Linked DNA regions of Neurospora crassa OR74A. The protein of the gene in region 2 interacts with the protein of the main gene of each other region in a biochemical or structural test. Links are inferred from orthologs where the notes say so. Each region holds a gene or a part of one and is shown on either strand. Other genes may lie near its edges.

Evidence for each region.
Region 1: of the proteins of NCU06929 (region 2) and stk-1, one has a biochemical effect on the other in vitro, tested with the Saccharomyces cerevisiae proteins (2 studies listed by BioGRID). The link is inferred for Neurospora crassa OR74A from reciprocal best matches to the Saccharomyces cerevisiae genes SPT5 and SGV1.
Region 3: the proteins of NCU06929 (region 2) and NCU03838 form a complex in vitro, tested with the Saccharomyces cerevisiae proteins (4 studies listed by BioGRID, with this or other methods). The link is inferred for Neurospora crassa OR74A from reciprocal best matches to the Saccharomyces cerevisiae genes SPT5 and SPT4.

Annotation. Positions count from the first base shown.
Region 1 is NC_026505.1:4,755,376-4,765,899, reverse strand, and holds stk-1 (serine/threonine-protein kinase bur-1), read right to left. Parts: upstream 7,002-10,524; 5' UTR 6,623-7,001; coding exon 6,468-6,622; intron 6,405-6,467; coding exon 6,323-6,404; intron 6,253-6,322; coding exon 6,153-6,252; intron 6,090-6,152; coding exon 5,693-6,089; intron 5,637-5,692; coding exon 4,691-5,636; 3' UTR 4,126-4,690; downstream 1-4,125. Other genes in the region: ppt-1 (serine/threonine-protein phosphatase 5), read left to right, coding at 333-482, 586-666, 775-1,213, 1,273-1,516, 1,604-2,090, 2,151-2,189; NCU01434 (hypothetical protein), read right to left, coding at 2,940-3,509; NCU01436 (questionable protein, variant), read left to right, coding at 7,678-7,863, 7,941-8,006; NCU10144 (SAM-dependent methyltransferase), read right to left, coding at 8,370-8,594, 8,691-8,945, 9,015-9,219, 9,309-9,825, 9,901-9,916. UniProt on the Saccharomyces cerevisiae protein: Serine/threonine-protein kinase component of the BUR kinase complex involved in transcription regulation.
Region 2 is NC_026507.1:790,736-800,990, reverse strand, and holds NCU06929 (transcription elongation factor spt-5), read right to left. Parts: upstream 6,246-10,255; 5' UTR 5,941-6,245; coding exon 5,575-5,940; intron 5,405-5,574; coding exon 3,187-5,404; intron 3,126-3,186; coding exon 2,545-3,125; 3' UTR 2,129-2,544; downstream 1-2,128. Other genes in the region: NCU06930 (hypothetical protein), read right to left, coding at 47-1,031; NCU06928 (hypothetical protein), read right to left, coding at 6,725-9,011, 9,081-9,355. UniProt on the Saccharomyces cerevisiae protein: The SPT4-SPT5 complex mediates both activation and inhibition of transcription elongation, and plays a role in pre-mRNA processing.
Region 3 is NC_026505.1:2,569,131-2,578,489, reverse strand, and holds NCU03838 (transcription elongation factor spt-4), read right to left. Parts: upstream 5,275-9,359; 5' UTR 4,932-5,274; coding exon 4,851-4,931; intron 4,774-4,850; coding exon 4,523-4,773; intron 4,433-4,522; coding exon 4,402-4,432; 3' UTR 4,082-4,401; downstream 1-4,081. Other genes in the region: NCU03840 (hypothetical protein), read left to right, coding at 214-1,158; NCU03839 (APF1), read left to right, coding at 2,731-3,909; NCU03837 (Snf1 kinase complex beta-subunit Gal83), read left to right, coding at 5,930-6,753, 6,831-7,404, 7,473-7,520; NCU03836 (O-sialoglycoprotein endopeptidase, variant), read right to left, coding at 7,875-8,939.

The DNA.
Region 1 (10,524 bases), on a different chromosome or scaffold from region 2:
GCCGACTTCCTAACCCGTCCCCTTCTGGCATATCAGACTACATATTTCTCTTTCTTTCTTGCTGAATACTTTTGTTTACACTGTAGCATATTTTCTTATCTAACCCCATCTCTCATACGTTTTCGCCCACTGGCCCCGTGTGCCTGACTTATAAAAAGCGAAGAACGGCCATCCTTGTCCGGTTCCAGTTGTTTCCTTTGGACTCTTTCTTTCTTTGGGTAATCCAAATTCTTTTTCCGCATGTTGGCGCGCCCGAGTCCAAGGTAGCACCCACAGTATCACCCGGATACACACCCAGGACACCCACCCATCGCCCACATAAACCAGAGACAATGACGACACCCCAAGAGCAGGCCATCGCCTTCAAGAACGAGGGCAACAAGGCCTTCGCCGCCCACGACTGGCCCAAGGCCATCGAGTTTTACGACAAGGCCATCGAGCTCAACGATAAGGAACCTACGTTCTGGTCCAACAGAGCCCAGGTTCGTGCCGCTGCCCCCGTCGCCTACGTCGCCTCCCCGACAGTCGCGCTTTTTTGAAGTGGTCGCGTGACAACTAACCGCGATTTTCTGCTCCGTCGCATAGGCCCATCTCAAAACAGAAGCATACGGATATGCTATTCGCGATGCCACAAAAGCCATTGAGCTCAACCCGGGCTTCGTCAAGGTACGTCCAAGCCCTTCCTGGCTGACATTGCCGCAGTCTTATCAATCTCTCTGGAGACAAGTCGCAAATGCAAGCAGTAGCTAATCCGAACCCCTCCCTTCTGTCTAGGCCTACTACCGTCGCGCTACCGCCTACGCCGCCATCCTGAACCCCAAGGAAGCCGTCAAGGATTTCAAGACTTGCGTCAAGATTGCCCCCGATAACAAGGATGCCAAGCTCAAGCTTGTCGAGTGCGAGAAGATTGTGCGCCAGCTCGCCTTCTTTGCCGCTATCGAAGTCGGGGATGAGCTGTCTGCTGCTGAGGGCCTCGATGTCGAGTCCATGGCAGTGGATGCTTCTTACGACGGCGTGCGCCTTGAAGGGAATGAGATGACACAGGAGTTTATCGACGACATGATTGAGCGCTTCAAGCGCGGCAAACTGATCCACAAGAAATACGTTTACCAAATCATTATCGCCGTCAGGAACATTGTATATAACGAGCCCACCATGGTTGAGGTGGACATCCCTGAGGATGTGCAGTTGACAGTTTGCGGTGATACCCACGGTTGGTTTGCCCTTGCATGGCCCCCTCCGAGCTGATGGTTACTGACAAATTGTGAATAGGCCAATATTTCGATCTGATGGAGCTCTTCAGGTTGAACGGTTTCCCTAGCGATAAGCACTACTACTTGTTTAACGGCGACTTCGTTGACAGAGGTTCCTGGTCGACCGAAATTGCCCTCCTCCTTTATGCCTACAAGTGGTTAAGGCCAAACGGCTTCTTCATCAACCGCGGAAACCACGAGACAGACGACATGAACAGGGTGTATGGCTTCGAGGGCGAGTGCAAGCACAAGTACAATGAGAGGTAAGCGAGTCGAACTCTTTGCGCCCATTATGCGACATCCTGAATTTTCGAGCACACACCAGCTGACACATCTCACCTTCTTCCCAGAACCTACAAGCTCTTTTCGGAAAGTTTCTCGGCCCTCCCGCTCGCCACGTTGATTGGCAAGAAGTTCCTCGTCCTCCACGGCGGTCTCTTCTCGGACGACAACGTCACGCTCGACGACATCCGCAAGCTCGACCGTCACAAGCAGAAGCAGCCCGGTCAGGCTGGCCTCATGATGGAGATGCTCTGGACAGATCCTCAGCCGTTCCCTGGTCGCGGCCCCAGCAAGCGCGGTGTTGGCATGCAGTTCGGTCCCGACGTTACCAAGCGTTTCTGCGACAAGAACGGTTTGGAGGCCATCATCCGCAGTCACGAGGTTCGCATGGACGGTTACGAGGAGGAGCACGACGGAAAGTGCATCACCGTCTTCTCGGCGCCCAAGTACTGCGACATGACGGAGAACAAGGGCGCTTACATCAACATTGGTCCCGATTACAAGTTGAAGTTCTCGCAGTTCGATGCCGTGCCGCATCCCAATATAAAGCCCATGGTGAGTCTTCTTGATCTCTATGACTGTCGCCACCGTACCGAAACTAATCCTTTTTCCTAGGCATATGCGCAAAGCTCCGTCATGTCGTCGCTGATGTAAAAGTTGGATGTATTTGTATAGCACCACAGAAAATAAAACGGCGTGAATACCTCGGGATGCTGTGTAGATCGGGCATGTTTTGCAAGGAGAATGGTTCTGTTTTGGCTTTCGATTGCATGTGATTAGGCGTCGCGCGCAGGAGTATCGGGGTTATGGTGTTAGGGTTCTTCTTCTTCTTGTCTTGATGATATATATTCCTTCTGGTGTTATTTGGATTCCATAGTGGTGATATCTTCTAGTCTGCCAATCGACAATCTCGATGTTGCCTCTTTCATAACTCCGTCTGCATGAAATCGCGACCTTTGCGTAAAAGCCAAGTCTTCTGTCTTCTCATAGGGGACCATCACAATTACGTACGGCGCACAGAAATTGTAGTAAGTAGTCCGTATGACGCTCTTGGAACCTCGTGTACAGTCGCTGACCCAGAACATTCGCCGCGAGGGCTGTACCGATTTAAGCCAATTCTTTCTCCACAGAGATAGCCGTTGAAACAGGACGAGTATACAGTCATCTCCCTCCATCTTCCTCACATTTTCCCTTTCCTGAAGCTGCCGTAGCTACAGTCTGGTAAGTACTCAGCCTCGACCTCTTCCTGCCACAGAACTCTCCTAGCCGTCCAGCCCAGGAGCTCTTCCCATTCACTGCAATCCTCTCTTCCCAACTCCTGGACAGAACGGCCCTCCTTCTCCCAAGACAACTGAAATAATCCCTCCCAACGAAGTCTCACACCTCATGCCCCATTCTCAAGCTTCACCCCCAAACTCTCGCTTCCCCCTCCCTCCCCACCAACGCCCCCAACCAATCCCCACACCCCACCACCCTCATCAACATCTGTTCTTCCCCTCCCACATTATGGCCCGGGTAAGCAGTGACCGCCGCCGCAAAAGCCGCCAAATCCTCCCTAGGCACGCGAACCCAGCATTCGGTGCCCTTGACTAGCAACATGTCGATGGCCAGCGAGGCGCCGGTGTCGCCGAGGAATTGGCGGAGGGCGGTGGTGAGGTAGTGCCGGGCGGTTAGGTCGTCGAGGGAGGGGGTGTTTTGGGAGGAGGAGGAAGAGGATGGGAAGGGAGAAACCAAAGAGAGGTGGGCGTAGGAGAAGACGGGGGAGCGGATGGTTGTTTGAGTGAGGGTCTGGGATTTTGATGATTTGGTGGGCTTGGTAGTGATGGTGATGTTGGTGGTGGGAGGGTCGATATCCATTTCTGTTGACATTTCGGTTGTTTTGGTAGTGGTGGTAGTGGTGAAGGTTGTGTTTGGGAAGGTAGTAGATTCGGTTAAGTTTGGTGATTTGAGATTGGTGTTGCTTTGCTTTAGCATTCGTTTTTTCTCTGTTATTTTTGTCTTTCTTTTTGTCTTTCTTTTTGTATGCGAATGGAATATCAACGTTTTGAACGCTGGTATCGATGAGATGTGATCAGAGTTGAGATTGAAGTGACTGCTTTGGAGTTTGCATAGCCAGTAGTAACTGAAGGATGATAGATTCTGTGAAGTTGTAAGTGGAAGATTTTCAGTCGCGAGCCGTTTGCGATCCGAAATGAATGTTTCGAACTTGCTGCATTTCATCTGAACTACAACATCTGATCATTTCGACATTACCCTTCCACATGTTGGAATTCCAATCACCACATTAGACATCTCGAATCATTCCTTTTCAAAGGTCAGAAACATCCTAGCTAGCTGCATCCAGGATAAGACATGCTGCGATGATGTTTGCATACGTCTATCTGCTTTTACACGAGATTCTATTGTATCGATGTACCAATTAGGGACCCACCTCGATACACGCATATCGCTGATAACCACACTTGTCGTCTGGGCAGTCTGTACTGAGCTTTCCACTCCCCCAAATGCCTATCAAATAAACAAGCTAGACAGAGATAGGGGAGAGGGTGTTATAGGTCAACCAAACATCATCCACATGCTCTTCTATCCCCGACCTTCTGACGCTCGTTCATCGTGATCGCCATCACAGTGAATCGCCTCAAACTCCCACCAGGCTAACACCATCTTTATTCAAGGCATGCACGCATTGCTATTGCTTTTTGGCGATCCTAATCCCCACTACGGCTTCTCGAACGGCCTACTTTGCACCCCAACTCTCGTGGCCTCGAGGACAGCCTGCATTCTCCCTCCTTGATTGTAACGCTTTTTGCAGTTCCGCTTCTAGCAGCACGAGCGCTATTTATCACATGTCCTCTAGGACCTATTCTGGTCGTCTCGGTGTCGTTCCATCATCTCCGCTAGGTCCACAACTCTTACTAAAAACCCAAGTCGGCATATCGCTGTCACACCCATAGAGGTGATTCGGAATACCCTTCTTCAGATTGAGAGGTATTGTCCCGCTCACCCCTATCAGGCTTATTACTATTGTCCCCCTCATCCCCGTTGGGCCTATCACCATCATACCCATCAGATGTACTGCACTCTTCTTCCTCCGAGTTACTCCTATGGTTCTCGGCATGGCAACTATCAGAGCTTTCTACACCAGGCGAAGAACTCTATCTTCGCGCATATGCATCGCGGTCCCGACCTCGATCGCGGTCACGGACCGGGGATCTGCTGCGTGTTCGGCTCCTCGTCCTGCTGTCCCGGCTCCTAACGTCATATTCTGGCCGTCTTCTATCCCGGTCCACTCCACCTCGCCTGTCATCCCAGTCATCACGGCGGCGCCAGTCCTCTCGGCGCGGCGCGGGTCCGTCGCGGTCGTAGCTGGGGATGTAAGTGTCTACGTTGCTCGGACCACCTCCCCCTCCGGGCGGTCCGCCGGGACCTCTACGTGGTGGACGGTCACGGTACCCATCGGTGTGGTCCATCGGCCCGCTGCCATGGTAGTCTGCGGGCATCGGAGGTCGTGGAGGCAATCCCCGTGCACTATGCCACGAGGGAACTCGCTCGTCGCCTGGTGGGGGACCACGGTGGTATGGCGGGTATCTGCCGCCGTTTGCCCCATTACGACCACCACCGCCGTAACCATCCCTACCGCTAAATCCGGTATCTGGGCCTTGGCTGTTAACAACAGCCCCGCGGCCCACCGTGCCTCCCTTAGGCGCAGGCGGCAATGCCGCTTTCCTGTCTTGAAACTTGCGCCTGTCGAATTCGTGACTCTCCTCGAACGTTGGTAAATCGCCAGGTAGAGCTGGTAGTGGCGCAGTCCGGAAATATGGGTGGTTGAGAGCATCAATCGCGTTGATGCGTGACCTCCAGTCAAGCTTGAACAGCTCCTTAAGCAGCGAAATAACCACGGGTCCGTGCTTCTCAAATCTGCGTGCCAGATTTCCTGGCCTAGGCTTTGACGAGAATGCCTGGCCACCGGGTAACGTCCTCCATCCCGGCATCGTCTCCTCAGATGGTGTTCCGCAGAGGTCCCAAACAAGCTCTAACTGGTGAAGATCGCTCTCGCCCTGTAGGACTGGCTTTCCTTCCAGCATCTCTGCGAATACGCATCTGTAATGGTTGTTAGCATGAAAGAGAGCGCATCTAGGGAACATGTCTAGTCTTACCCAACACCCCACATATCTATTGCTGTGGTGTACCTTTTGAGATGCATCAGAAGCTCGGGAGGGCGGTACCATCTGGTCACCACCAAGCTAGTGTAGTCACGCTTCCCCTCGCCGCTTCCCTTCCCGGGTTGGGGAATGTCGCCCTCGTAATGCCTCGCTAGACCAAAGTCGGCAATCTGTAGTACACCCTTGTTGTTGATGAGAAGATTGGCCGCCTTCATATCTCTGTGCAGAATGTGGTTCGCGTGCAGATACTTGAGACCTTCTAGCAACTGCAGCAAGTAACATTTAACTTGTGGTTCAGTGAAGCGAACTGACGGGTTATCGAGCAAGCCGGATAAATCGTGGTCCATGTAGGGTGTGACCATGTATACGATAGGTCTTGTTCGCTTGTCGGCTGATGACGGTGTTTACTTTAGTAAGGGCCATCGTCATTGTAGCTCATGGCAGGTTGACCTACTTCTGGGTGGATGCTCAATCGCCATCTCCTCTAGGCGCAAGACGTTTTTGTGCGAGAGAAGCTTGAGCAACTTGATTTCTCGAAGAGCGGTGATGGGGAACTGATGGGCAAGTCAACGTTAGGGACCGTCGAAACCAAGACCGAATCGAAGGGCAAGCACGGTGACGAACCCCATCTCTCTCGTTGTGCATGATGATCTTCTTGAGTGCGACCAAGGCGCCCGTTTTCCTCGACCTCGCGCGGTGAACCTCGCTGAGCAGGATAGTGTCAATAATCGCAACGATTGCTCTGGGGAAACACACGATGAACACATACCCAAAGGTACCCTCGCCCAGTTTACCCAGGACTTCATAGTCGGCAATCCTAGAGCAGCCCACGAAGCTGCCCCTGTCCCTCTGGTGCGCAAGCGCAAAAGCGCGAGGAGACATGGCAGGGCCTCCGCCGCCCTCCTTTGCCTCGTCGATGCTCATCGTGTAGCACTCCTCCTCTTATTTGTATAAAATCTTTTTGGCGACACTTGCTTAAAACCGAGGGGCCAGAGGCCAGTGTTGTGTTGGAAGCTGCGGGACGTTGTTTGGCTTTGGTTATGGATATCGTCGGCGTTTGATTTTCCAGTTGCGAAAGCAGAAGGGAAACAGGAGGATGGAAGGAATCCTCTGTCGCTTTGCGCAGGCGTCGGTTGCCCTGTATCTGCCGGCTGTTGGTGAGTTACCTGGCAGTTTGTGCTGTCAGGTGTAAAGCAAAGACATGAAGCGACATGCGAATTTGCCGGTTGGTGTTTGGGGGTTCACCTCTGGTTTTCATTCTTGGACTTTGTGATAATGGATATTCGGCTGGAAGGGAACAAAATGCCCCGTCGCCTTCACAAGACTGGAGGCGCGCTCTACATCTACCCTAGAAGTGGCAGGCCGGCCCCCGTATCGGGTCCATGTTTAGCGTGTCGGGGTGTACAATGCACGAGCCCACAGCGGAAAGTACCTTACCCCAAACCCAGGCCGTAACCGTAGCGGTAGAGGTACCTCCCAACGAAGCTTCCACAGGGCAAGTTCTACCCGCCCGTACCTAGCGCGCCTTCCAAGCGACGGGAACCTCCCGTCACTTCATCGATAAAAAGCCGATGGGCAGGCAACCTACCGGTAGGTACGTCTATGCAGACCATGACGTCTCCAACTCATCGCTTGTACCTTCGTACCCTTTATCCCTTCCACAAGTGACAGCAAAATCTGTAGCCTCAGAATTCAGGCAACCAATGATTGAGATCCTCAAAAAGGTACCTCGCTACTACTAACAACCACGCATCCTCCAGTGGTAGCCCGAGGTGGTCAGGATCCCAAAGGACGGACGACTCCATCTCCGGTCTCCCCCCATCGTCGCAAAACCCACGCCCTCCGGTCAGAACCACAAGGTGAGAGCTCCACCACCACCACCAACCCACCTGGATCATGTCTGTGTGAATGCGCAATTGAATAACTAACAAACACCAAATTGTCCTCGGGAAAAAAAGGGCTACTGCATATTCCACACAATGGCAGGCGATGGAGAATTCGAGCGAGTCCCTCGCCCCGATAACTACCCTCACGGGCCCGAGTTCCAGCCGCGCACGCTGCACCAGAGGTTGCAAGGGAAATGGTGGTACCGCGTGCCTCCCAACCACAGCAAACCCATCTACCAGTTCCTGAGCATTGGCCTTGGTGCATCGATGTGGTTCTGGGTAAACTTCCTTGTCATCACGAATCCTGCGTATCCCGGACAAGTAACTGACTCGTGCTCGCCCTATGCGTTTACCAGATCATGTACCGGGCAAAGAAGGACGGGGCCGTTCTCCTCGGCTTGAAGCACCCTTGGGATCACTGAAGGAATGGTATCGACGCGAATCTTCAACGACGTGGAAGTGGCCATAAGGACTGCGTTAAGACTTCTACGAAGCGACATGGTGGCTGGAACAGAACATCATTGACTGGCATGGGAACTGGACCAACAGAACAGGTATCGGCCCGTATAACAGAAGGGCGTCATCATCAGTCATCATTCATCAGGTCTGAAGACAGGCCGCAAATCGCGTCAGAACAACAGTCAGGCGCATCTTGAATGAAATAACTATATAAAGGGGAAAGATATGAAGTGTGATCTCTATGTACGCCATGCTAACTAACCTTCGCCAATCATTCATGGGAACTTCTGACCATGTTGACCTTTACACACTCTCAAGTTCTGGCTTCAAACGGCTTGCAAGCCGAACACCTGCATTTCCATATCTGGCTTTTCGAACAAAGCATGGGTGACCCCCCACGTGTCGCCTCCGTCCGTCTTGAACATTTCCGAGCTGGCCAGGTGGAAGATCTGCCAACGGTTATGCCAAACGACGGCCTTTTCCTCGCCGTATGTCTTTACCAGGTGCGGCATCATCCTCTCCCTTCTGGCCATGGTGTTCTCGAGCCAATGCTGTGTGGGAGTTTTATGTGTTAGCCCCTGTCTCGGATCCAAATGTACATGTTACGCTCTTTCAAAGCATCGAGGGGTTCGAGTCGGTATTCTTACCTCGAGAGACTTCGAGTAGTGGTATCCATTGATCCACCAGTGCTTCTTGATGACCAGGTCCTTCTGGAAGTACAGAAGGAGATCTGATGAGGGCATGGTTCCTCCAGTGAAGAAGGTGCGTGCCATCCATCCATCCTCGTAATGGTACGGCGTCGTACGGTGGCAGAAGTGGTGGACGAGAAGCTGGCCACCGGGACGAAGGGCTCTCGACATCTTGGCCATCAGACCTTCGTAATTCTTCATGTGCTCGAACAGCTTTAGGGCTCTCATGTCAATGACTACTTCTTAAAAGTGTCTCGGAGAAAACCCCAAGTAATTGCTCACCTCGACGGACAACGCCCGGTCGAAATAGTCGCGTTCAAATTCATAGTCGGTACAATTTCCAGTGATGATCCGAAGGTTCATCAGGCCCAACTCGTATGCCCTAGCGTCGATGTACTCCTTCTGAGTGCGCGAATTGGAGAAGCCGACGACCTCCATGCCTGGGATCTTCTCGGCGAAGTACAAGACGGCAGCTCCCCAACCGCATCTATGACTGGGTTAGGCTCTTTCTTCTATGTGTTTGCAACTCATGCGTGCAATGTTTAGTCCGATTCTCATGAGTGATAGTGAACTGACCCAAGATCCAGGAACCTCATGCCAGCCTCCAAACCCAGCCTCTCGATGTAGAGATCAAGCATCTTCTCCTCGGCCTCTCCCAATGACTCATTGCCGGTGGGGTAATATGAGCAGCTATACTTGATCCTGGGACCAAGCATGTTCGCCATGATTCCTGTGGCGATCTCGTAGTTTTGTCTGTTTGCGGCGTCCGTCTCGATAGCGATGGGCTGATGGCGAACAGTCTCGAAGAAGTTCATCTTGTACGCCAGAGTCTCGGACCAGCGCGAGATGGGAGCAAGGACGCCCGGGAGAAGAGCAATCTTGGGCGAAGCCATTTCTTCGAGTTTGGCTTTCAGGCTGGGATTGCCCTTGGCAGACACTGTGGCGATGACCTTGTCCGGAAAGGGAGGAGTGATCTCATCGAGGCGACGGCGCAGCTCCCTGCGGATGAGCACGCGAAGGACAGCATGCGGGAGGACACCGCTGTCCAGGATACTGTCGCACCAAGTGTCATTGAGGTTGTCGAGAAGCTTGCCTACAGGACCTCATGTCAGACCGGATCTCCCAAGTTCACATATGTGTGGTGAGCAGATTGTCAACATGTACTCACTGATAAAGGGGAACATCTCGTCTGATGCTTATTTGAACGTTGGTGTTGAACAGGATGCTACAGTCCGTGTGAACGCTTGACGGTGGACGTGTCCCAGAAGGAGAGTGAAGCGTGAGTGGGAGATATCCTCTAGGTGTGTGTGCGACGAGCTAAAAGAACGAGTGGGTGGTAGTTGCTGCTATGGCAAAGACATAACCGCGAGTATTTTTTCCTTCCTTTTTTTTCTTTTGGGGGCAACGAGGTTTCTATAGGATCTTGTTGTGGGTGCTCGAGTGTGTTGCTGGAGAAAATCAGAAAGAACGAGGCAGAACTGCTCAAGGACTGAGTTCTTGATAGACTCGATGGACAAGTGCGGTGAGTAACGCCTTCCAGTCTTCTGAGTTGACCGCTTGTGGCTTCCTTTCAACGGAAGGTGCGATGAAAGCACGAGGTACTACCGCCCAGCAATCGCGGCCGCAAAACGCGTCGTTTGGAACGGGAATAGTAAGAGTTGAGGGTGTTAACGTGTCTCATCATGTTCTTTCCCGGGGCGGGGAATGCGTCGGCTTTACATTAGAGGCAAGCACTCAACACATGATTATGAAGAGTTGAGATGGGATGGCTTGGGATGGGTCTAGACTCGAG
Region 2 (10,255 bases):
CCGTTAGCAGCACATTCAAACCGGTAGGTAGGTAGAGACGACTCACCTCGAACAGCATCTTTCTCAAAAACCCTCTTCCCATAACAATTCAAGAACTTGATCGGATCCTCTCTCGGCCTCCTGACAATATTCCCCATATCATCCTCTTCCTCGTCATACCCCGGCCCACCGTATCCCCTTTCGCTCTCACTACCACCAGCACCACTCATCTGCTGCTGCTGCTGCTGCTGCTGCTGCTTCTTCTCCCACCACCTCCTCGTCTCGCTCTGTTCCCACCCCATCGGTGCGACCGGCAATCCAAAGTACAAACAAGTCAATTTGAACGCTAAATCGGCCTCCTTTGCCCACCCTTCGTTGTTGTTATCCCCCTTCTTCTGCCAACCCTTCACCTCCCCCTTGACCAACCTCTTATACCTCTCGCTGTTTTTCCCCTGCAACTCAGCCAAGACGGGATTCTGCTCCCAATCAGCCGGCAGCAACAGGTCCCGATCCTCGGGACTGAACCGCGACTTGAGCAGCTCGTTCAAGGTAGAGGTGGGCGAGTCCAGGTGGGTGCGAAGGGAATACAGAATGGTTTGAAAGGCGTCAGAGTGAGGAGTCACGGTAGGGTCGACTCGCCGAAGGGAGGCGAGGCGGAGCTTGTTGTCGTGTTCTTCTTGTGCTTTGCGCTGGGCGAGAGCGGCTAGGCGTTGGTCACGTTTCTTAATGGCGACTTCTGTAGGGGAGAGGGGAATGGCTGGGGTAGGGCGTTGGAAATTGAAAGAGGCGAGGTTGGAGGGATCGGTGCCGAAGAGGCGGGAGCCGTACGGGTTTGTGATGGGAACGGACTTGGAGCTGTCTGCGGAGTCGATGGCTTTTTGGATGGTGGACTTGGTAGACTTTTCCAGGTTGCCTGTCGAGTGAGCTCTGGGCTTGGTGACGCGGTTGGTGGGTTTGTTGGCGTTCTTCGGGCTCTTGCTGCTGCCTTTTTTCTTGTTGTTCTGGTTCTGGTCCTCCGTGCGGTTCCGAAAGAAGGGAAGTCCCCAAGGCATGATGGTCGTTCCCGCACTCGTTTGGGTTCGGACTAGGTCTTCTACAGATGTTGTAGATGAGCCTGGTCAGTCCGCACTAACAACTTTTGATGATTTGTTTACTTGTTGCTGTTGCTGTTGATCAACGATGAGGTTTGTTTATGAACGGCGTACAGCTTAATCGACGAATGGAGGAAGAAAAGAAGAGAGAAAAAGGAAGAGAAGGACATTGAGAGGGAATGGTGATTGTAGGGGGTAAACAACCATTTCAAGGCATCACATCGGACAAAGAGACAAACGAGGGCATTATTCTTCCGCTTGCTTCCTTTGGCCCCCTTCGAATACAAGTAAAGGTGTTTGCGTTTGCGTTTGCGTTAGTGGAAGTGGGTGGCCCATTGAAGGGTAAGCTGTACTGCTGGTGGTTTCTGTGGGTCATGCTTTAGCTAGAGGTAATCTTCTTTGTCCAAAGTCAAGGACGGGAACCTTCGAGGGAGAGCTGGAGTTGCTGCATGCGAACATTGTGAAGCTGGGAGACAAAGAAACAGGCTGGCAGCTCGAACCAAGCATTGACAACCCAGCGTGTTTTGTTTGCTCCGGAATGGGCAATCGACACTTGACCAATCCGTCGGCAAGGGGAGAGAACAAAGCCATCATTGTGTCGAGTTCTCGTTGCGACGGGAACGTCGTCGTCCTCACATCAGTCAGTGGACTGTGACCGAAGGGGACAACTTGTCTGTCTCTCTTTCAGGCCCCGGCCAATTGCTGACTGGACCCCATGGCTTCATGGCAGCTGAAGTAAGAGATTGAAAGAAAAAGGAACAGGAAGTCAAGGAATCAAATAAGTCGCGAGTGTTGTGGGCTGACAATTGGATTCTCTCCAGCTTTGTGTGTGGTGTTGATGTTGGAGAGTGGAGATGGATGTCGATGCACGGATGAAGCTGCGAGGGAGAACAACACAGGTCTGTGCTTGGCGGCGGCAAACGGTACGCTAACCCTAACCCCTGATTCAGCATTCATCATCATCAAAGTAACAAAGAACATGGACACATTTCGACGTTCCAGCAATTTAACTGCCTCGACTTTATAAGAGAAAGTAAAAGAATTATACTTCATAGGATGGGTCTCGATCATTCCATGCATAGATATTTGAGCCCAAGAAATTACGTAGGAGTAGTAGACAGCGAGGGACGGACAACGTGTGAAGACATCAAGGGTATCTCAGACAAGGCTGATGCTTAAGCGATGAATATCCTGCTCAAGTCACGGAAGAACAAACACCAAGCTGAGGAAACCGCCTTTTCCGCTAATTTATTCCTCGATTTGCTTCCATTTGCACTGCATCATACCCATGTCATGCTTCCTTTGTATCCTCATTTTCCACTGGATCCCTTGCGCTCCTGACTTTTCCGTCTTGCAAATGACTGACACCCAGAAGACCCCAACTAACGTACAAAAAATCTAGACGCCGGACAACAAACGTGAAAGCTTAAATCACATCCTCCTACACCCTAGGACTCATCACGGAATTTGGTCTCTAATCATCATCCGCATAGCCCGGTGCTCCCGGCGTAGGGGCACCCAGGGCACCCGGTGTCGGCGCACTTACAGCATCACCGCCACTTCCCCAGCCACCCTGCCAGGCCCCAGGAGTGGGCGCGCTGACAGCAGCCGGCGTCGGAGCCGAGTACGCCCCAGGTGTAGGAGCGTTGAGTGCCGCGCCGGGAGTGGGCGCGCTTAGACCGCCACCGGGCGTGGGCGCATCGTAAGCTGAGGATGAGTTACCGCCGCCTGAAGCGCCGGGCGTGTAGCCCCAGGCATCGCCGCTAGCCCCAGGCGTAGGAGCAGAGGCACCGTAACCGGGCGTTTTGGAGCCCCAGCTGTCGGAGCCGGCCGACCAGGCTGGTGTTTTGGAGCCGTGGCCGAAGCTGTCGGGGGCGGGGGTGCGAGAACCCGAGTGCCACGCCGGAGTGCGGGATCCGATGCCACCGTAGGCGGTAGCACCACCGTAAGGAGTGCGGCTGCCGTCGTAGGGATTGACGGTACGGGAGCCGTCGTTCCAGGCCGGTGTACGCGAGCCGCCAGCGTCGCGGTTCCAGGCAGGGGTACGGGCTGTGGCTAGTGACAATGTTAGCTTCAGGCAAATAGTGATGATAAAACATGACAACAGAAAACTTACATCGAGAAGAGCCCCAAGCCGGTGTACGATCCGATCCGCCCGAAGCCATAGGGGTCCTGCTTCCAAACTCGCCGCCACCACGTCCTCCTCCACCAAAGCCACCACGGCTGCCACCGCGCTGGTTGATGTCAATGGTCTTGCCAGTGACCTTGTCCTTGAAGCTCAAATCAGCCTTGGGAATGGTGATAATCTTTCCCCTAGAGTGCAGCTCCACACGAGCATGAGTGTCCGTTGTGTCCTTGACGATTCCGAGCAAGCCCTTGTAACCACCGCGTCTAATAACCACGGTTTGGTTAATGGCCCGATCAGGTCCGAAGGTTCGCGGAGCTGGCATTTGCTTGCCGCTAGCAGTGGGGTTCCGCTTCAGGGCTGGGTTCATCGCACTGAGATCTGGGCCCGCAGTAGCAGTGTTGCGACCACCCTTGGCCGCGACCGTGGTGACGCTGTTAGCCCGAGTGACGAAAACACCAGCATTCTCGTTGGTGGTCGTGGTGTGAAGGAAAATGTAAGAGCGATGAATGTGAATGATCTTGCCCTGGCGTTGCTGGCCACCATATTCACGGACCACGTCGTCCAGCCTGATTTCGGAGCCGTTGCGGTCAGCAGCCACAGCGAACTTCCTCTTGGGGAGCTTGTTGGTGATTTGCGACGGCTGGACCTGTTTGGTATCGCCGTTCTGGTCTAGCACCACGACTGACTCGCGATCAACCTTAACGATGCAGCCGACAGTCGTGGCATCCAACTGCACAAGATCCAAGAGGGAGTACTGTCCAAGAGAGCCTTGGCCACCAATATCAGATGCCTCACGGAGGTCTTTGCTGAACACGGTGATCTCCGTGTTGGTCTGGTCTGTGAGGAGGGTGACTCTGTCGTCCACGATCTTGACAACCATACCAACTTCGTCACGGAACCGGCTGCCACCAATGACCTTGACGTGGTCACCAATCCTGAACCTCTTGCGCAGACCCTTGTTGGGGACGTCGATGGTCCGGCCAGCAAGATCACCCTCGGTAACCTGCAATGTGACGATGTCGCCTTGAACATTGGTGGCCTTGCCGATGACACCCTGCTGCTCGCCCTCATACACCTCGATAATATCACCAGGGACGTACGCAACACTCTTAGCGCTATCCTTGAGAGTAGCAGCAAGAGCCTTAAGATCGAGGTTCTCTGTACCGTCCTCGGCTCCACTGGCGAACTTGGTAACCTCCTCCAACGTAGGGTTGACATTCTTGACCTCGAGCTGCTGGATCTTGATGTCTTTCACCTGGAAACCGTTCTCGAAATCATCGCCGTTGTAGTTCCAGCTGTTGGTCTGCGGGTTCCCCTGGAGGTAACGGGGGTGTCTCTTGCGCGCCTCGGCTTCACTGAACAGACGCTGGGGAGGACGAGGGCCGGGCACACCGGGGCGCTTGCGCTTGCCATCGGCCTGGAAGACGGGGTCATCCCTGACACCGTAGTCGAGTCTGGGAATGAAACGGACTCTGGCCTCGAGGCCGTTTTCTGTAACGTCGATAACCTGAGCAAGATCACCGGCGTGCTTGGCCGGCTTCTTGAGACGAACCCAAGCGCCGGGCTCCAGGTTAGGCGTCTTGATGACACGCAGGAGGTCGGGCATGTCCTTGATCTCGACGAGGTGCATGTTGCTCCTGGGATAAACGTTGAGAATGCCATCGAGAGCCACGAGAATATCGTTCTGTCTTTGAGCCTCAACGTAGATGTATCCCTTCATGACCGAGTTGATACCACCACGTTCGAAAGCAGCCGTGATGGGGACCTCGTTCTTGGTGCCCATTCGCTCTTCGATACGACGCATAATCGAGAAGATGACCTCACGCTCCTTTCCTTCTTTACACCTGACGGCCCAAATGCTGGGGTCCTCGACACTGGGAAGAAGCAAGCGACGGGGCACAATGGCCATGTCTCCGTAACCTCTAGCCGGGGCGCGCTTGCCGTAGCGCTCACGCAGGATCTCTGCCTGTTTCTCAGCGTCGAGGCTGGCCTCCATCTCTCGGCGGCGGTCGAGCTCGCGGTGTCTTCTGTCATCGTTAAGGCGGCCGCTGTCGGCAATATCGTCAGGGTGGGCATTGTCGATGAAGTCCTCTATCTCTTCACCGTCGCCGACTTCGTCTTCTCCCTCGTCTTCGTCGTCAACTTCGGCTTCGATATCGAAGAAGGCAGCTCTACGGTCCTTGTTGCGACGCTTGCGACGATTGCCCTGCGGACAAAAGACAGCGGGTTAGCTAGGTCCCCGATGTGGCGACACGGGTAGGTTTGGCGGGTCATCTGCACCGGGACTTGTCTTTTGTTGTTTTTTTCTGGCAAGTGTGGATGGGATGGTGCTGCAGAATTGAAGTGTGGAGGGACATTATTGGGATCCGGACTTACACCATGAACATCATCCTCGTCTTCCTCATCTTCCTCTTCCTCTTCGTCCTCCTCTTCCTCCTCATCTATCTCCTCGTTCTCCTCTTCATCTTGCTCTTCATCCTCGTCATCGTCGTGGTGATCTCGACGCGATCGCTTGGCCGGGCGCGCGTCTTCCTCTTCGTCATGTTCCTCCTCTTCCTCTTCTTCGTCTGGTACCGGGCTACTAGCCTGCCTCACGGTCTTACCAGCGGGGCGGTGGTTGTGCGTGGTCTCTTCGTCGTTGTCGTTGTTCTCCTCGTCCGACATGTCGGCGGGGGCGGGGTTGAAGTTGTCATCGTCGGACTCGTCGTCGGCGCCGGCGAACTGCCAGCTGTTTGACGCCATTCTGAATAATTTATCTGAAAGAGAGCGGCGAGCGACAGGGGTGTCGTACAGTCGTACTACCGGCGGTCGCGCGTTGTGTCGAGGTGTGGGCGAGAGATGGAAAAGGAGAGAGGAAGGGAGAGATGGCCGTAGGTCGCGAGATGTGGGATTATATTTGTAGGTGAGAAAAGGAAGATTGGCTGGCCTCGAGCCGATGGATGATGTGGTGGGAAATGGACCGACTTTTGAGGCGTCGACTCGCTGTGAGTGTTCAGTTGCAGACTTGCAGCAGCAGCACCGCGGGTCGTGAGGCGGAAAGAGAGCTGCACGGCCCACAACTGGACAGTGAGTGGGTGGACTTGGAAGCACGGACGGTCACACCTCCACCCCCGGTTGGTTGAGGACACTGGACGGCAGGGGAGTGTGCTGCTGCTGCTGCCAAGCACTGGAATAAGCCGCTAGGCTATTCGCGGCCAAGGTCAGGTCTCCGGCCGGCAAGAGGTTCCTTTTGTTCAGGTTACATTCGACCAGGACCTTGCAGTCCAGGACGGGTACCTAGGTAGGTAGAGATACCTCATCGTCTATTCATTTGCGCACGTGGCTGAAGTACAAGTACTTTCAGCTGATAGAGTATGTAGAAGAGAGCGCTGCACCGTGATAACCTCCCTTTCGTTTGCCCTTGTCAACACCATTACTAGGCAACCTTTCATACCTAGTAAACACGGCCAAGTAAAAGTCAACTCCTGGCAGAGACAGACAGACAAAACTATCTACATGATACAGCGCTCCTCCAGGAAAAAAACAATCACCTGACCACCTCCTTATCCTTCCGGGTGACCGTCTGAATGAAGCTCTGATACTGCTCATCTTCCGCGGTCTCCATCATGATTCTAGCATTCCGCCTCGGTGGAAGCTCCCTAATCTCCGGCTTGGGTATCTGCTTGTTTGCCGTCGTCCACAACACTCCCCCCGTCCTTGCCGCCTTTGGCGCTTTCAGTTCCGCCGCCGCCGCTTCCTCCGCTCTTGATGGAGCATCAATCATCACCACCTCCTTGTCCTTGTCTTTCTCCTTCGCGTGTTGTCCCTTTCCAGACCCGGCCGCGCCGGCCCCGTCCTGCGCCTTATCTCCTTCTCCTTCGCCGTTCTCTGCCGTCTCGGTGGGTCTGGGCAGCCTCATGGCCAGTAGAACGTATTCGCTTCGTTGCATGGTATCCATGATATCGTCCATGTACCTCTTGACCTCTTCCTCCGGCGCCACTACTCTTGCCAAATTATCCAGCACATGTTTGCCACTGGGAGCCGCCGTAAACAACCTTATAGTTATGGGCTGGTAGTAATCAAGCTCCGGGTCCGCCATCGGATATACTGCTTTGCTTCCCCTCCTGATGATAAGGAATGACGCCACCACCTGCTGTTGCTGCTGTTGTTGTTGTTGCTGTCCTTGGGTACTGCTAGCGCTGCTACTGGGAATAGTCTGATAATCCAGAATGCTGAACTTCGGAAAGAGGTACCGATCACCGTTTCCTCCCGCAAACTCGAATACGATGGCCGAATAATCAGGTTGTTTGGGCGGCGGCGGGGGGCCCTTTGAACGAAGCGCCTGTTGGGCCGATGACTTGTCGGCTTTCTCTCCTTTCTCCTTTGTGGCCTTTTCGGCCTTCTCCGTCGTCTTCTTCTCCTCAGCAGCGTTGGCCTGTGAGGTCGTTCCTGTACCGCCATCAGTCCCATTGCTCGCGCCGTTGGTTTGTTTCGAAGATCCCGCTGCCGAAACCGTTGATTGGCGTCGTTGCTGTTGAGTCTTTTTAGTGACAAGGTTAGAATGCGCGAGGTCCAGAATCGCCTTAAGATCCGTGGCATCGGTGGGTTGAGGCTTATTGTGGGCTATACGCCGGACCATTTCCTTCGTCTTTTCATCGTCCAGGGCCATCTTTACTAACGAGACCAGGAGAGCATCGCTGTCTTTGGGCGGCTGTAAAGTAGATGATTTTTGCTTAGGGTTGGATGCTAGAACAATGTCAAGTATTGCAGCTACCTCATCCGCAAAGTACTGGACCGTTTTTCCATCGACAAACAACTTATCTGCAGCTGGTGGCGCCGGAATGTTGCTTTGCCGTTTGCTCTCTGACGTGATGGCGTCAATGATACCCTGGAATCGCTCGAGTTCCTGCTTGGAGGCCTCTCCCTGGGCCACCCGCTTCATGAGATCTCGGAGTTGGGGGTCTTCGCCAGCCTTCTCGGCTAGCATGAGAATGATTGGATCTGCCCCCGCAGCTGGCTTGGCTGGTGCGGCGCCATTGGCAGTGGTTCTTGGCGTGGCAGGAGCTGCTGGAGCTGCTGGAGCCCCTGTTGCTGGTCTGGGGGGGACACCAGATGGTATTGAGGGGGTGGCCGGAGTCGCAGCACTTGGTGGAACGGTTGGTGGGACGGGCACTGGTCGGGGTGGTTGCGCACCAGCAGCTGGTGCTGTGGTTGGGGCCCGCGGAGCCGCCAAGGACGGAGATGGTGAAAGAAGTGATTCGATGCCTCTAGGCGTTCCAGCGGGCTTCGCGAGCGTGGATGGGGCCGCAGCAGCTGGACTAGGAGCACTTTGCGCGGATGGTTGTTTGGTCGGCTGTGTCTGTGACGTCGGGTGTACTGCTAGCTTGCCTGGTGTTTGAGGCTTGGCCTCCGCTTGTTGTGTTGTCTGAGAGGTGACCTTTGGATCTGCCTCTGTTGTGGTCGGTTTCTTGGCGTCTGATGCAGCTGGCGTAGGTGTTGACGAGGTTGAGGCCGCCACTGACTTGGGCTTGGGTGTAGGAGGAGGCGGCATGACCCCATTCGGAGGTCCGTATTCGAGGATCGGTCGCTTCTCGGTTGGCGGTTTTGGCGGAGGGGGGTTGGGGTCCTTGACTGCGAACATTGTCGCCTCGAAGACATGTGGCTCAACCGTGATTGTCACCTGGCCCAGCTTGACCATGCTGTCCTTGGGAGGATTGTTGGGTTCCTCGATGACGGCACCCCTCTTCTTTATCGGCTTCGTCCAGTACTTTTCGAATATTTGCTCGGTCATCCATTGGTTACGCGATCGGACAAAGGACTCGTGGAGAACGCCGCTGCGAAGTGGTCATGTTAGATTCAGCCAAAGCGCATGAACGCGCGGGGGTTTGAAGAGGGCTGCACACCTTTCTTGCAGAGTCTGATAGTCCTTGGTCGAAAGGTCTTCCGGCTGCGGTTCCTCGACGGTAGGAAGCGGCTTCCCTGCTGTGACGGAGCTGGGCAATGTCTGCTTGGGTGGCTCCTCCACAGTGGGCTCTGGCTCGGGCTCCTTTTGGGGCGCGGGCGCTGGGGTGGAAGACTTTCTCGAGGTCGGAGGCGTGTCGGTTTGTCTTCGCTTGGCGGCCTGCTCAGACCTCGCCGCGGCACGAGGAGGTAGCTTGCGCTTCTTTTCCGTAGTCATGGCTTCACGCACGCGACCCGACCCGGTACGGTACGGTACGGTACGGTACGGTACGTTTCTCGTCGTGATGTGGAAGTGAGAGTGGTGCACTACGCAATCGGCATCGGGACCTAGACAATCGCGAATGTCGAGGGAAGGTGAATATTGGATGTGGTATCAAGGGCGTAAAATGACGTGTGTCTTGGGAGGTAGAGGGGGGGGGTATCAATCGCGAAGGAGAAAAATGGGATTATGAACAAAAAGAGATAGGTGCCAAATGGGAGGTGTCGGTTGAATAAGAAGCAAAAAAGGAGGGAACGTGTCCGACGTGACGGGGATGGGTGTCCAAATATGGAGATGACGACGATCGCGGCTGCGTGTGTGGACGTGTGGGTGGTGGTGGAGGTGGTGGTGGTGGTGGTGGTGGTGGTGGTGGTGGACGAGTGAGCGTGTTGCGACTCAGCCGTAATGAGAGTTCGTTGTGAAGGTGAAGGATGGAGTGTATGTACAGTGAAGAGATGGATAAGACGGAAGTGGAAGAAATAATAGGATGGGGCTCGTTCCAGTCCCGCCCGTCTCCTCTCTCTCATGTGCCTGTGACGGGAAGGGAATGAGCACGCACTCCCTTCCCCCTCTCCGCCTAGTGTAGGTAAATGGTCCGAATGGCCGGCCTGTCCTCCGCTCTACACTACTCTACACTACACTACACTATGTACCATCGGCCTACCATCCTCAATTCTAGAGGTACCTAGCTACGTACACTACCTAGCAAACGGGAGACGACGCGGACACTGATCCTGGATAGGGTAATAAAAGGCTGGCGGCCTTGTGATTGGTTCGGGGTCGAATGAGGTCCCCTCCAAGTTTATTTACCCTTGGTCGTCCAGCTTTCCTTCGTCGGGCAGGTGCTGCACCTCGTGT
Region 3 (9,359 bases), on a different chromosome or scaffold from region 2:
TTATCTCGGCAGTCTCTCGTTTAACTTATCATCTTCATTGGACCAATTTGCCTCCCCGAGGTAGCGAACGGACAACTCGTCGACAAACAGCAGGAGTTCATCACCATTTTCATTCTTGGACACGGCTCAACTCCTGTCAGTTTGACTGCTGGATTCATTACTTTTTCATCATAGGGAAAGGATCAGTTGAGTCGATTGCGAACGCTTGACTTCATGGCTTCCTCGGAGATCGACCAAAAGTTTCTTGGCAAGCTCGCCCGGCTAGTCGAGAGTGAAAACCCCCTGCTTTCCTCTGTCCTGTACAAGATTCTAGGACTTTCGATAAACCTCTCGAGTCAGCTCATCACCGCACGAAAACAGCGCCGACAAGACGGCAGCTCAGGAAATCCTCCATTAGACCTTCATCTTCACATCGTCTGGTTGTCACGGGAGGGGTTACTACTGCTCGATCAATATGTACTGCCATCGGCAACGCTAAAGAAGAATGTCGAACTCAAAATCCTAGCATACAAGCTGCTAGCTTCATTCTATCACATTATCGTCTTGTTTCACAACACTCCACCTGTTACAACGATAGGAACCAACACCCCGGAAGGCCAGTCAACAAGCAGTGTAGCGAATGCCAGCGACAAGGGAAAAAGGGTAGCAAAAGGCAATGACACATACGATCACGGTGCTTCAAGGTCGATATCTGAGGGGGGGCCCGTTGGTCCACCCCCAGGTTTTGGTCCGCAATCACCAACAGCCTTCCTCATGAAGCCCGGGGACTACCTACCACTGGCCCAGCAATGCTTCAAGGAAGCTATCCAGCTCGCGGAACAGCACCTTTGGGGATCACATTCGCTACGGCTTTCGGTCAAGACAGAATACGCAGCCTTCCTATACGAATGCGTTCACGATGCCGAGGCTAGCCGAAGACTCGCAAAGGAAACCATCTCGGAGGTGTATGAGGCGACGGAAGGCATCGACAACGACATGTTTAACGATGCGTGTGAGCTCGTCACAGTCCTCGGGAAAATGATGAAGCGCGGTTTGGGGTCGAATAATACTCTACGAAGCAAGGGTCACGGAACATCGAATTCTGGCTCGCAGGGAACACCCAGGATCGAGCAAATAGAAGCCCAGGCACCAGTCACAGCTCCGCCAGGGATGATATGAGCGAGAGAACTCGGCATTGGTTACTTTCCACCCTGTCGGCAGCGCTCTGGAAGGAGGACCCAAGTCCAGATGTCAGAGAGAAAGCCGTTGAGGATGCTCATCACCACTGGAGCCAGGCACGATCAAGCACCGTGCCATCGCAGGGATATGCCAACAGACTGAACCTTCCAGAAACCTGGCTCAATGCGTCAGTCACCGAGCAGCACGAACAACTTCGAATCCCGGATGCCGATCTTGCATTATGACATCATCGCCTATATACTACTATGCAGTACGTATATCAGCCTTTTGTTGTTATCCATGCCGATTAATACGCTTTATTTGGACCCACGGCATTCTATATTACACGGGACATATAACCATCGTCCGAGAATCAGAAACCATGCCATTTTCAACATGAGAGTTTGAGCGCAACTTCTCTTCTATCTGGCGGTTTTTGGAGTTACAGAGCGATCGCCTTTGGTCTTCATACGACATCAATATGTCATTTCACTTACGGTACAATCATGTTCTGGTTTTTCTTGTATATACTCATTGCCTTCTTTTGTTTTTGTCAATTTGATACCCAAACGCGTCCGTTTCGACCGATGGTGTCTTTTTTTGTGGCTTTTTTGCGTTTGATGTCTTTTTGCTTTTGGGTGAATGCGGGAAATCTCGGTTTGATGGGGTGGCTGTTGTTTTTGGATACTCATCATATGTCAGCTGTAGTTTGCTGTCAACATAACTGTAACTGTGTAAATACTGCTGAAAGATCGTCGACAGTTGATGGATCCGTTACAAGAAATGAAGAAGCGTGGTCGTAAGAAGGTACGAATGTGCGAGGAAACTCAGTCATTGTAACCGAGAGAGTGAACGATAAGCATAGCACCAATTGATAACCAGAAATACCTTTGCATAAAGGTGAAAGTGGGGATCGCGATCCTGGTCAACCGGAGTGTCCGAGAGAAAACCAATAAAAAAAGAGGAAAAAAGAAAAAAGACGTCGTCGAAGAGTACAGAAAAGTGTAAACCTCGAGCAAGCCGGGCATATACTCTATCACAGCGCAGACCAAGTCCGTTGTATGGCAGACCTCTCCGTAAGCGGCCGAAACACAATTTCCGAGGCACAGTGTCATCCGTAGCATCAAAAATACCCCGTTGGGAATCAGATTCCTTTGTGTAAACAAAGCGAAAAGGGGTGATCCTCGACCAAATGGGAAGCATGTCTGGGTTAGGGTTGTTGGTTGATCGCTTCAAATGCTTGGCATTCGGCATGTAACATTTGTGTGGCGGCTGGCAATCGGGGCCTACACTCGAACCTTTACCCGTTGCAGAACATCAACTTTCCAACAACAACGCAAGGTGGTCGAAGAGCGAAACACCACGATTTTTGCTCCAAGTCATCCAACACTACTCACTCACCATCTCCGTCACATAGTTAATCTTGACCCAACGCAACTTCCAAACCGTCATCCGCCGCATCGTCCTGTACTGTACCGAGCGACACCCTCCGAAAACAAAACACATACAACCAATCACCTCCCCCACCCGCCCCGACTCGCGCGCAGCGGAGTCCGTAATTACCCATTCACGATGCCCAAAGCAGAAGTCGGCTCCGCCAAATATCTGGCCAACAAGATGAAATCCCGCGGCCTCAACCGGCTGCGCTGGTACTGCCAACTGTGCGAGAAATCCTGCCGCGACGAGAACGGGTACAAGATGCACTGCCAGTCGCCCTCGCACACGGCCAAAGCGCTCGAGGCGGGCGCCAACTTCAAGGGCGTGCAAGACACCTTTTCCGACCAGTTCCTCAAGGATTTCATCGCGCAGCTGAAGACCAGCCATGGCGAGAAGGAGATCCACATCAATAAATTTTACCAGGAGGTGATTGCGCGCAAGGACCACGTGCATCTCAACGCGACCAAGTGGCATTCCCTCACAGAGTTTGCAAAGTTTTTGGGCAGGGAAGGGTTGTGTAGGGTGGAGGAGAAGGAGGGGGAGGGGTTGTTTGTGGCGTGGATTGATGATTCTCCCGAGGCGATGGAGAGGAGGGAGAAGGTCAGGAGGAAGGAGATGATGGATAAGGGGGATGAGGAGAGGGAGCAAAGGGCTTTGAGGGAGCAAATTAAGAGAGCGCAAAAGGATGCCGAGGCGAGGGGGGTTAGCTTTGATGCGGAGGAGGAGGAGAGGAAGGAGTTGAAGAGGAGGGAGGGGGAGAAGATTAAGTTGAGTTTTGGAAAATCGGCCACAACAAAGAAAGAGGAGCCCGGGTCGGGGTCGGGTGAGGGTGAGAAGGGTTCGACATCGGCGGCGGCAATGCCAACACCGGGTGCTGGGGACGGATCGGTTCCTCCTGCTGCGGAGGAGAAGAAGGATACCGTGACGCCACCTTCGACAATAACGAAGACGACGACGGACGGTGTAAGCTCTGAGCAAGCAAAGGTGGAAGCAAGTTCAAAGGGCGAAGAGGCCACTGCCAAGACGACGGCAGAGGAAAGCAAACCCGCGGTTGACTCGACTGCTGGTCCTGCTGGTCCTGCTGCTGCCGCTGCTCCCGCCACGAAGCCGGTATCTATGAAGTTCGGCATGAAGCCCCAACCGAAGAACGTCTTCAAGAATGCGTTTGCTGGGGCTCCCAAGAAGGTTATGGCTGCTCCGCCCAAGAAGATGAGCGAGGCCGAGAGGATAATGAAGGAGGAGTTGGAGCGCAAGAGGGCTCGCGAGGAGAAGGGTGGGAACTTTCCCAACAAGAAGCCACGCTTCCAGTTTTAACATACTGTGGAGTCTCACGTGGGTAACTGGTCAAAGGTTATGCTATCTCCGGGTTTGGCAATATTTCGGTACATGTTATAGGGGCGTTTTCGGCGTGATGGGAAATGTTTAAAAAAAAGATACCATATTGCATTGGGGTTTTCGTAAAAGGGATCCGTAGCTGGATGAATAATCTTCCATATAGGTTAGGTAGTGATAAACTCATTTGTATGATTGTTGTATTTCGCTGCAGTGTGTAATTATAGCCCTGGGTTGATCATGCAAAACCCAAAAAATGGCCACTATCCTGCTGTCTAGACCACGCCCTTTAAACCAGCCTTAACGCCTTGAACTCCTGTTGCCTTCCCTTTAACAGGCATTCCGCATTCCGCTCCTGGGTTGTCTGTGAACGATCTATTATCGGTCCCTCTTCCTTCTTGCTTGTCGGTTCTCTTTCCTGCTTTCTTATCCGCCCTATTCCGTCTTGTTTTCTTGCACCGCAGCTTCGAGTTTCTAGTCCGCTTCCGTCGCACTGCCATCGCGCCTGCTCCAAGTTAGTTTCTGGCTGTGCCCCGAAAACCCCACGATCATAGCCTGCTTCGCCAGACCACACGAGTGTAAGCAGGAAACTTACGGGATATACTGAATGCCGTCATCCTCCAACGTGGTGCGCACGTCATCCGGCAACTGGCCCGACACCTTGGTCGCGTATACACCCTTCACATAACCGTCCAGCCTCTGCCACTTCGCCACCCACGACTTCTGCGGGTTGGCAATGGTGATGATTCCTTCAAAGACTTGCGACGTGCAGCTGTCGATCTGATCCGGCGAGCCCTGGAGATGGAGGAAGTCTTCGCAGTTGGGGCATCCTTCGTCACGGAAGCGCTATGACAAAAACAAAAAAGGTCAGAAACTTGTCGGTCATAGAGTGACTAGAAACGAGGAAGGGCAGCTCGACTTACAGCATAGGTCATGACGATAGAGCAGACCATGCAGGCACGAAGGTAGCGCTGCTGGCCGGGGGCAACGTAGTTCTCCGACATTTTTGGGAGATGTGTAGGGATGGCGATGTTACTGGTAACTTTGGGGGCGGAAACCGATAACTCACTCGTCTACGAATAGCTGAGCGAGTGAATGAATAACTGGAAAAGGACACTTGACGAAGGAGGGTGATGTTCTTTAGAGGAATGCATGTGAACATCGATAAGTTGTTCTCTGGAAAGAAGATCGGCCGCCTCTCTTGCCTGCCGCGTCGCGCCAGCGCAAGCTCCAGGTCTCACAGCGGGCCAGGAGTTGACATGCAAGGGGCGCACGGTCCAGGAGCTAGAGAAGCAGGAGAGAATGTGGGAAAGGTGGGGGCCGAAGTGGAAGCTGGGGCCGATGCCTGGAGGTGGACAGTGGAGACACTGCCGTGCAGTTGGGCTGGGCGCCGTCTCACACTCATCCACAGTTCAACTCTGTTCGCCGAGTCCGGGGCGTTGCATCCGAGTTCCATTCAGTTGCCAGTGGTCGCCCGCTTCTTATCGAGCAACCAGGTGGATGGCAGCTGTGCTTTTTGGCCCAAGGGAGGACAGTCAACTGCTGCAGTGATACTCTGATAACTGAACTGAGCTCTCTACCTACCCGTCATTCTCTCGACTTCCACTTCTTCCACTTGTTTCGCGCATCCTCGATTCGACACGACTCGAATCATCACATCTTCCAGTTTGCTGCGATATTGCCTGCTCCAACTCTATTACGACACGACACCTGACAACGTCGTTCGAATTCCCAAAAACCACACAACCACAGCCACGACCAGCGCTGGCGTAGCATGCAAAGCCCCTCGACTGTCAAACCACCTTCTATCCGAACTCGGCCAATTACCCCGGAGAGTGGAAGATGAATTGATTGCACCCGGTGGACGCATTGTTGAACAGGTGTAGCAGTAACAGCAGCAGACCGCGGTAGCAGCGAACCACCTGTGACGACCCCGTTCGACCGACCCGACCACCACGGCGACCCCATCCCGTCATCAGCGCCAGCGATCGAGCTAGGGAAAATGGGGAACAACCCCTCCACCTCCAGAGACTCCAAGACCCCGAATCCGCAATCCTCCTCCTCCTCCTCTCAATCGCAGTCTCAGCACCAGTCGCTGGCTTCCATCCAAAATGACTCTGCCAGAGCAGTGAAGCGCGATACCAAGCACCCTATACCGGTCCCAAATCAGCGAGTCGCTGCCCCTCCTGAGCCCTCCTTGACCCAGGCCCAGGGCACCGCCGTCCAGCCGCCCTCAACCACCGCTCGTCCCAAGTCGCTGCACTCGCGAATGCCACCTTCTCAGAGCGGCTCGCCGGGCTCGTCGGTGCCTACCAGCTCTGCCACCCCCACCAAACCTGTCGAAGTAAGACAGCTGAGACCCGAAGACAGTCATGAGCCCGCGAAACCTGTAGCCGTGCCCACACCCTGCCACGCCTCGTCGTGCTCACCTAGGTCGCCGGTGCGATCACCGCTATCAGAGAGATCGGATGCCTTTGAGACTGCGGCTATGCAGCTGAGCAGTCTGCAAGATGTCTCGTACCTGACCAGGCCGCCGCGACTACCTCTGCCGATCGAGGAAGAGGTCCACACACCCGGATCGCCTATCATTGCCCCGACCGACATTGGGGTCCCACTCGAGGATGCCGACACTTTCACCGCGCTCACCAGACGCTCTTCCAACTTGAGTAACAGCTCAACTCTGGACGAAGAAGACACGGAGGAGCTACGGGTGGACAAGACTAGACCGACTGTCCCCACCAGGCTCGAATGGCTCCGTGGCGGCGAGAAGGTTTACGTGACAGGCACCATCTTCCAATGGAACAGGAAGACACGATTACACCCGGTGTAAGTACTTTCTACATCCCGGCCACTTTCGCTCTCAATACGGATGGGGCCTTGCTGACACCGCTACTCGCCAACAGTGAGGGCCGACCGGGTGTATTCGCTGCTATTATCAATATCCTGCCGGGCACACATCACGTTCGCTTTCTGGTTGACGGGCAAATGCAGACCTCGCCAGACTTGCCGACCACGGTAGACTTTGGCAACAACCTGGTCAACTACATCGAGGTCAGCCCTGATGATGTGGGGCGCACCGCTGCCCAGGCAGCTGCTGCAAGCGCCGCCAAGGATTCCCAGCAACCTACGGAGCCCAAAACCTCCGCGTCCGAGACGGAGGAAAGCAAGGCACCTAGGGACCGACCTGTCCCTCCGGCGGAGCTGTTCGAGAACAAGATCCCGCAATATCTACTCGACTTCGACGCACCCGAGGAAAGTCCACCTTACCTGAGTGCTGTCAACGCCATCGAGAAACTCCCAACGCCGCCTGCGCTTCCTGGCTTCCTCGGCAAGCCCATCCTCAACGCGGCCACCTTGATCAAGGATGACAACAGCGTTCTGAACATGCCCAACCATACCGTTCTTAACCATCTAGCTACTAGCAGTATTAAGAATAATATTCTGGCTGTGTCGGCCACGACGAGATACAAGAACAAGGTTCGTCTCCCCGTATTTCGTAGCTGCATCTTTTTGCACGTAGTCGTTGATGCTAACGGACTGTACAGTATGTGACGACAATCATGTACAAGCCAACAACGACAGAGGGCATCTGAGTTTGGAATGCTAGTAGTCAGAGCTGGGTACAGTTGGCTGGTGGCTACCACTACTAGACGAACAGCGCAAGTCATGAGTAGAATAGCGGTGCATGATGAACCGCCCAGTATGACCTATTCTAGATATGTCTACAAGTAATGTCTATAGGACGCTGTAGCGATGACGAGGACACTTTATGGAAGCGGGCGCAAATTGTTGTCGGCAAACTGTCCATGGGCATCCTGCTCCATTAAGGGGGCACTAAGGGACAACAAGAGGCGCATATAGAGTGGCTGCCGTGGATAGAGTAAAGGTTATGGGATTTGGGGGTATCGTCGTAATGGTCATCTTCGTCTTCGTTTCCTTCCTTGTCATTAGTCCCTCCACTTGACGAAGACTTCGTCGGTTCTGAAGCGTTGTGTACATGTGCTTTCATCAAGCGGCGTCCGGAAGCCCGTCTCGTAGGCCAATAGACCAGCATGAGCAATCATGATGCCGTTGTCGATGCAGAACCGCTCGTCGGTGGCGTAGACACTTCCGCCTCGCTCCGCTGCCATCGCGCCCATCATCTCCTGTAGCCGCTCGTTGCAACCGACACCGCCAACAATAAGAACCTGGTTGCTACCGACGTGCGCCATAGCCCGCTCGGTGATCTCGACAAGCATGGCAAATACCGTTTCCTGCAAGCTGAAGCACAGATCTGCGGGTGTAAACGGTTCGCCGTCGGGGCCCGGCTCGCCCGCCTTCATCTGCGCCGCCAAGTCATCTGCCCGCCCCAGGATTCCGCTGAACGAGCAATCCATTCCCTTGACCGCATACGGCAAGTCCAACAAGACTCGCCCACCTTGCTTGGCCAGCTGCTCAATATTGTACCCGGGCGCCGGGTCGTTGCTGATCTCCAGCGTGCGCGCGAACCGGTCCAGGCAATTACCCACTGCAATATCCAGCGTCTCGCCAAAGATACGGTACCGCTGCTCCGCGTACGCAATCACCTGCGTATTACCCCCGCTCACGTACAGCACCACCGGGTTCGACGCCCCCGTTATCGCCCGCCCCATCTCGATATGCCCGACACAGTGGTTCACGCCCACCAATTCTTTACCCCACAGCAGCGCGAGTGTGCGGGCGCCCACGGCCACCGACGTTAGGGGCCCGCCCATCCCGGGCCCCTTGGTGTAGCAGATGCAGTCGATTTCCGAGATGGAGACCCCCGACAAGGCGAGCGCCTTCTTGGCTACACGCACAAAGTAGGCACGGTGGTGTCGGGCTGTGTCCTTGGGAAGGAAACCGGTGCCGGGAGGAGAGACGAAGGTGTCGCGCACGTTGGACAGGACAAGGGCTTCGCCGGTGATGGGGTCGTGCGCAATGATGCCGATGCCGAGCTTGTTGGCGGAGCCTTCGCATCCGAGAGCGATGCGGCGGCCTTTGGCGTCGGGCATTGTTGGCTGTTGGGGCTTTGTTGGATAGAGCGAGGGAGGGAGAGGGTTTCGGTTACTTGGTGAATCGGGAGCCGGTTGCTTCGTATCAGATAACTCGCAAGGATATTTCGTTGGGGATGTTTATCGAGGACCTTGATATCCTTTGGTTGTTGATAGGCGTCGCGTCGCGTACTGAATAGGATGGATGGATGGATGTTGTCAGTGCCACATCCAATGCCAGATGTCAGATGGAGAAAGTGATAATGGAGGGGCACCTTTTTAGAGTGGGGAAAATTTCGTCGCGTCTGTGAATACCTAGGCTAGGCGCGCCGTAGTGATCAAGGTGACGAAACTCGAGATCGAGATGAAAGAGGATGTACATACTTATTCCCCCAGCGGGCCGGTATCCCGTCTCCTAAAACCGGTCGACATGTTCACTAC